Linked DNA regions of Oryzias latipes. The protein of the gene in region 1 binds, or shares a complex with, the protein of each later gene. Links are inferred from orthologs where the notes say so. Each region holds a gene or a part of one and is shown on either strand. Other genes may lie near its edges.

Region 1 (2,963 bases):
AACATTTTTTGAGTGTAAATGAACTGGCATTGCAATTTTGGAAGAATACCAAAAGCAGAACTCATCCCAGAATGTTTTTATAATTCCACAGTTAAAGAATAAATGATCCACCGTCTCAATGTCATTCAAACAAAAACTGCAGTCATTCTCTTCAAACTCAAAACGAATCCTCAAAAATTTCTTAGATTGGTACGACGTCGCTAAGTAGTAAAATCGCTCGCTAAGTAGTTTGTCCAACTGGTGTTACCGTAGGGTGACGTCATCATTGGTCGAAGGACCCCCGAAGGACCCCGAGAACATCCGGCGGCCCGAGTCGATCCGGTACCCACACCGCCACTTCTCAAGACCAACTTAAAAACACCAAAAGTAACATTTGCATCAGAGCAGATCTTTAAAATCAAATGCTTGTTTATTTTACAACCACATCATTTTTGTGATGCATTATTTGTTTTGGTTGTTCAAAAACACACACAAATCGTTTTATCCGATTACTCGATTAATCGATCGATTAAGTGCTAGATTAATCGATTACAAAAAGAATCGATAGCTGCAGCCCTATCATTTCGGTTTCTTCTGAATGTCACCTGTGACCTTTTTTCATTGGTTTATCGTTCATAGGTTGGATCCATCATATTCTCTGAGCACAAAATACTGACAGATGGGAGGATATTTGTAAATAGGCAGAAAGACGGCAACTAAGAATTTCTGTGTGGGTTTATATGTAATTGTTTAACTGTGACTAATGTGACGGCAAATTAAGTTTAGAATCCGGTCTTATAAGGGTAAAGCAGCTTTTTTCTAAATTTTAACTGGTTTATAAGAAAAATTTACTTTATAATAAAATTTAACTTTTTTAATCGTGAAAGAATTTTAATTTTGCTGCACAAAACAAACTTTTTAAGCAATTTCATGAATTCAAGAATACTTTCTTAAGACATGCAGCTAAAGATCCACTCTGTTGAAAAAAACAAGTGTTTTGTGGTGTTTATCTGAAAATAGAGGACATATATTAAGAAAATTTAGTTCAAAATGTGTTTATTTTTTATGTTTTGCTCAAATCGTCTCGAATCAGGAGCAGACATAAAATGCAGTTTGGAAAAGAGTTTATTTGTGATGCTGAAAATGTGCTGAGTGGGCCACAAGCTCCCTGCTCCAAGCTGTCAGCAACAGGTCCTAGAAAGTGACAGGTTTTTGGATTTTGGCTAAAACATACTCATAAATAAAAGACCACTGGGAATGCTTTTAAAAGAAATCAAAAGATGACTGGAGTGGGTCTTTAAAAAGTCTTTTGTGTGTGTGTGTGTGTGTGTGTGTGCTACAGATATTAAAGTGTCAGCTTACCTGAACCTAGCAGCTGACTTCACGCACAACTTCACTGACGGCCTTGCAATCGGAGCGTCATTCCTGGTGAGTCCAGCAGTGGGCGCCATCACCACAGTGACAATTCTGCTGCACGAGGTCCCCCACGAAATCGGAGACTTTGCCATCCTCGTGCAGTCTGGCTGCACCAAGAAGAAGGTATCGTACCGTCTGCTTCCAGGCTGCTTGTGTCGCACTGATGCGGTGAGTGTGACTGTGTCGCTCCTCTTTCCCATCAGGCCATGTGTCTGCAGCTGCTGACTGCTTTGGGGGCGCTGGCAGGGACAGCTTGCTCCCTGATGGCTGAAGGTGTGGGCGCCACGGCAACCGCCTGGATCCTGCCCTTCACAGCTGGGGGGTTTATTTACATTGCCACAGTGACTGTGCTCCCCGAGCTGCTGGCAGGACGCTCCAGCTTTGGCCAGTCGCTCATGGAGATCCTGGCTCTGCTGTTTGGAGTCGAGATGATGGTTCTGATCGCAGAGTACGAGTGAGGCGCCTCTGTGGACAGTTTTGGTTTCCTCACAGATTCCTCTCTCTTTTTTTTCTTTCTTTTTTCTTTAAAGTTGTGGGGAAAAAATCTCTTTTGTTGTTTTAACAGTTCATAGACACTTCATTGATTTGTTTTTTTGTATTTTTTAAAACTTGAATCTCTTCATTATGGATGCACAACATAAGGAAAGTTGTTTTTTGTGTGTGTTTTTCTTCATCCCACAGCTTCCATGAGCTGCAGTTTGACATCAGAACAGGCCAAAACACTAGATGTTCTCTGCTGCGTCACACTGGGATGCTCCTCTGATTTTCACTTCATGATTTACATTCCACACAAAAAGATATTGCCGCTTTTGTGAATGTATTCCGAAAGACTTCATGTTTTTTTTTTGTTGGATTGTAAAAGGATCAGCTGTTATGACTCAAGACTTCAGACGGGAACTTATTTTAAACTTCCTGCAATAATGAAAACGCCTGCAGCTGTGCCGAACGTCCCAAATAAATGAAAGGTGATACGTTTCAGAAATGTTCCTGTGGTCATTTCAGCACCTGGGGCTGAAATTCCCAAAAAAGACGATACAGTTCCCCAGTGAATTAAATAAAAACTCATATGTAAAAAAACACACCAACTGTGGGTTGGAGTTGGTATGTTTCCACACCAGCAGTGAAACATACTTAATCTGTTTTAAATTCTTAATTCCACAAAATGATCCCAAAACCAAACGACTTTCACTTTAAGATTTGGCAACTAAACCGAGCTCATAAAATGTAATATATGAACTACAGAATTTAATTCAGTTCTGCACCGCACACATGGCAGTGAAGTCACTCTGAAAGGTGACTAATTTTTACCCAGCAGCCAGTGTTTGTTGGTGGCCACGCCTACAATGTCCCTTTCTTGTAATCTATCAGACTAATTGCATTCTGGTGGTAAACACGAGCTTTTTAATAACTTTTGTTCAGTTTAAACATAATTAATCTGTAGTTTTTTACATAAAAACCACCAATGAAAAACGTTTTGTTTGAATCGTCTAATTTTTTTAAATAAATGCTATTATTGAAAGACATACACCACAAATTTGATTAATGGGTAATATCCTCACTCATATCTG
Region 2 (4,113 bases), on another chromosome or scaffold:
ATTAAAAGAAAAAGAAAAAGGTCTGAAGATGAGAGCAAAGGCTTTTAAAAATCCTGTCTTTAACCCCAAACAGCAAAGATAAATAAAAACTCATCAACCTAAACATCCTGTAAAAACAGATCGAATTTATAGATCTAAAGCTACAATCAGATACTCTTATTGTGAATATATCAAACGTATGCAGCACTTTTCGGTTTCCTGTTGTCACTTAGAAAGAAATTCACTACTTGATATTAAATTCAGTGCAACAAAGCAAAACAAAAGCATGGAATTCCATAAAGTTTAGCTTGAGGTTTGGCTTTAATACTGAATCGAAGGATGGAAAAGATTTCAAGTTGTTAAAACTGTTTTGGTCAGGTGCATAGATCCATTACGAGTGATCTGGAAATGAAACAGTTCGTAAAATATGATCAAGTTTAGGATCTGGTGGTGCCAAACGTGGCACAGAATTACGCTGATAATCCAACAGAAAGATGCCAAAAGGTGTGACACTCCTATAGGCCAAGCGGCATGTTTTCCCTGCAGTCGTGTAGCAAATGCATCTTAGTGGAGCGGCGTCCAGCATTGTGCAACTAATGCTTGGGATCTTGCCATCATTACCAACCTTGAGGGGGGAACAACGTGAAACGCTCATAAAGTGCTTCACCTCTGGGATATTTCACCTGGAAAACCTCTGTGGGATTTTATGTCTCAGAGGGTGAACAGGCAATTGTAAAAATCTTGTGCAATGGTGAAATCAAATATGTAGTACTATAAATTGAACCGTTTATGCAAATATTGTCAGAAATTTTGGTTAAAACGTTGACAGTTAAACATTTACATCACAAATAATGGACTTGGAAGACAGAAAAACTTTTAGAAAGGATGATCCCCCTTAGGTTTTCGTTTGAAATAACAGTATAACAAACTAAAAAAAAAAAGAAAAAGGAAATCACTGCTGTGTTGCGCCCAACTCCCTGCTTCTAAATTTCCGAGATGAATAAATGCATGAGGAAGAAGAAGAAGAATTGCACTAAAATCCAGGTACTGAGAAGAAATTTTGGGCCCCGTGTTGTGTTCAGAGCTCATGAACAGACTGCTCCGAGTCGCCGGAGGCCTTCAGAACAAAAACCGCATCATCCAGCACATAGTAGTCATTGTACATGTCTCCCTCGCACAGGTACGGCAGACGCGTCACCGCTTCCACCTCAAACCCCACCCGCGGGAAAACCTCGCTGGACAGATCGGTCACCTGCTCCTCCCACGTCTTTCCTTTAACTTTCAGGTGTTCTTTTGGTCGTTCCCACTTCCCGCCTGTCAAGCAGAGAAACGATGCTTGGATTTCTAGCTAGATGAAACGTCAGCAGAAGAGACAGAAATGGGATTCCTCACTGACCGACTTCTACGTAGGGCTGAAAGGGAAGCACAGCAGCCAAGACGAGCCGTCCGGTTTTGGGAACCAAGGCTTTTCTTATTTCCCGCAGGAGGTGCAGTGGATCCTCGCAGCGGTCCAGCAAGTTCAGACAGCTGATAAGATCATACTGAAATCCAACATGCTGCCACTCGTCTATACCCAGAACCCTGTGGCACACGGGAAAAGACAACAAAAAGACAGAGAGGAAAAACTTCTAATTGCCAATTAATTTCAACCCAAAAGAACACAGTGTTATTCTGTGGTTGCATTCTTGTATTGGCTTGAAGGGAAGGAACCTGTGAAAGCTTTTAGGATATGCTTCTACTCACTTGTAGTTCCTCCTCTGCAGATGCCACTTCATTGGCACAGACACCTCAGTTGCAAAGACCTGCCTGAAATGCACTCCCATCACCTCTGTGACCCCTCCATCACCAGCTCCAAGGTCCAGGAGTCTCTCTGCCGTCCAGTCTGGGCCGATCCGGAGCAACTGCTGGAACTGCTCGGACGAAAACACGAACATAGACCCTCTCCCCAAAACCCTGTGACACAGAGGAGGGTCAGGAGCAGGAAGAGGAACACAAGCTGCAATTCAAACACCCACTAGCGCTCACCCGTTAATGGAGGTGCGCGACAAAACGGGGCTTAGGACGGTGGACACCAGCGAGTGGTAGAGCTGCGTGAACAGCCAGCCGGACTTCTCTGCGCTCCTGTTGAGAAAATCCGTGGTGTCCGAGTCCAAGTGGCTTTGGATGAAGAGAGGCCGGACGGATTCTCCCAGCAGATCTGGGCAGCATCGGTACCACTGAACAAACAGAACAAGAGGTTTTGATTTCACAACACTTTTTAAGAAGTCCTGAGGTGAACTCCATCTCCTGTCACCAGTCTCATACAATACCACCCTTTACCTACCCCACAGCCCCTCCCTGAAAACAGTTCAGGTCTGTTTGGATTGAATTTTCTCAGCTCAGCAGAGGTGGGGCTGTGTTAAACTACACAGCAGAAAGTAGAATTTAAGAATTATTTCCTATTTAAATGTTAAAAAATAGTCTTTCCTGTGCAAAACCAATTTCCCCCCTTGTGTTTCAATCCCAGTCATCTTTAAAACTACTGTCACATTGTCTCTTTCAGCATAGTTTCTTTTGCAAAACAGAAGTTTCTCTTTTCAGCATCCCTCTGAATCATTTAGGTCAGTGCAAAGAGGCTAAACGAGCAACGAATAAATAACTAATGACAAATTCGTGACACATTCGAATAAGGACATTCTTGGATTTAAAATAAACACTGTAAATTTAGATTTTGTAGTTTTATATTTTCAGAAAAAAAATAAGGACAGTCGTACCTCGTGTGTTTCCCTGGCACCACTGGCCTCGTGCTCATTCACCATATTCAGGACTAGAGAGCGCACGAGCGGGCTGCGCGCGTGCTTAGCGGTCCACATTCTCCTGATGGAGAGCAGAAACGCCACGTAGCCCAGCAGCCAGGCTACAAAAAACAGAGTCTTCAGCTGTAGATGACACATACGGAAAACAATGTCTGAGAGCCGAGAGAGCGGCAGCCGACAGCAGAGGGACAAGAGCAGGTAAGACGAGAAAACCCCGAGAGGAGAAACGTCTCCTATTCCAGGACTGTAAACCAACCTGAGGTGGGCGTGGGGGGACTTTACGGAGGCAAGCTGCTATTTACGCACCATCTTAGTCCAAGCGGAGCTTTGTTTGCTGAGCTGAAACGGCAGAAACTGAGCCGGGATGAGAAACACTCCCCCCTTTAACAATAAAAACAACCATATCCGCATTCTTCTTCTGGGTGTTTGGGTTGACATAGCACCGAATCTTTGGGGATTTACTGCCCCCTGTCGGCAAACACCGGCAACTTTCTGTTTTCCTGCTGAAAAGGGGGTTCCACATTTCAAGCCATTAATCATACAGAGTATCTAACTTATACCGAATGTATGTAGTGATTTATTTATTTCAAACATGTAAAAACAATAAAAATAACAAATACGATCATGATTTTCAATACTTGGAAAAAAATGTTTTCCATTAGACTGATGATGATGATGATAATTATAATAATAATTGTTGTGACTTTATATGATGTTGCTCCGAGTTACCTTAGCGTGGGTGCTATCAGCGGGTCTCTTAATTAGGACCGACGACAGGGACACAGCTTTCGGTGCAAGAGCTTTTACATGTACTTTACTCTGAAACCCCTCATGGCATATACAGGCCGACAGCACCATCTATTGGTGGCGGTGGTTATTACTGTCTATCACAATATACCACATCCCTCTTTTCCCAAGACATGTTAGTCATAACATCTTCAACAGTTGTTTAAACACAAAAGCACCCTCTAAATAATTTGAACATTAGACGGTCTTATGCTCTTAACATAATGGCTAGGCAAATTCAGATTGTAAACAACCTTACATTTAACAATGTGCATCTTAGTGCAGTAGTCTGAAACTTCGACATACAAACATTTAACTTATTTCTTAAAATGTTTTAAAACGAACATACTCTTTTCTTTTACGTAACCATTAAACAAATCAAAGCAACAGTATGAACACAAAACTGTCACATTAACTAGTCTCTGTATCTGGCAGGACGTATGACTGCTCGACCACTGCGTGTGAAGTACGGTGCTGTGTTTTCCATACTCTCTGAAGATGATTTCTGTGGGGAATCACATGCTGGTGGATCAACTGACTCTGGGTTTTGAGA

Evidence for each region. The genes of interacting proteins can lie anywhere in the genome.
Region 2: the proteins of slc39a7 (region 1) and mettl9 are in contact, whole or in part, in a crystal structure (PDB 8GZE), measured with the Homo sapiens proteins. The link is inferred for Oryzias latipes from reciprocal best matches to the Homo sapiens genes SLC39A7 and METTL9. Residues at the interface, in NP_001070984.1 of Homo sapiens: Gly65, His66, Thr67, His68, Glu69; in NP_057109.3 of Homo sapiens: Arg114, Thr115, Asn118, Arg123, Gly124, Met126, Met179, Asn210, Asp213, Arg214, Val241, His245, Tyr247, Glu249, Trp255, Tyr295, Leu296, Cys297, Glu298, Asp300, Tyr306, Val307, Leu308.

Annotation. Positions count from the first base shown.
Region 1 is NC_019869.2:14,594,658-14,597,620, forward strand, and holds the end of slc39a7 (zinc transporter SLC39A7), read left to right. Parts: intron 1-1,321; coding exon 1,322-1,518; intron 1,519-1,598; coding exon 1,599-1,853; 3' UTR 1,854-2,373; downstream 2,374-2,963. UniProt on the Homo sapiens protein: Transports Zn(2+) from the endoplasmic reticulum (ER)/Golgi apparatus to the cytosol, playing an essential role in the regulation of cytosolic zinc levels.
Region 2 is NC_019877.2:20,101,730-20,105,842, reverse strand, and holds the start of mettl9 (methyltransferase-like protein 9), read right to left. Parts: upstream 2,928-4,113; 5' UTR 2,913-2,927; coding exon 2,733-2,912; intron 2,196-2,732; coding exon 2,005-2,195; intron 1,933-2,004; coding exon 1,723-1,932; intron 1,561-1,722; coding exon 1,376-1,560; intron 1,294-1,375; coding exon 1,058-1,293; 3' UTR 1-1,057. UniProt on the Homo sapiens protein: Protein-histidine N-methyltransferase that specifically catalyzes 1-methylhistidine (pros-methylhistidine) methylation of target proteins.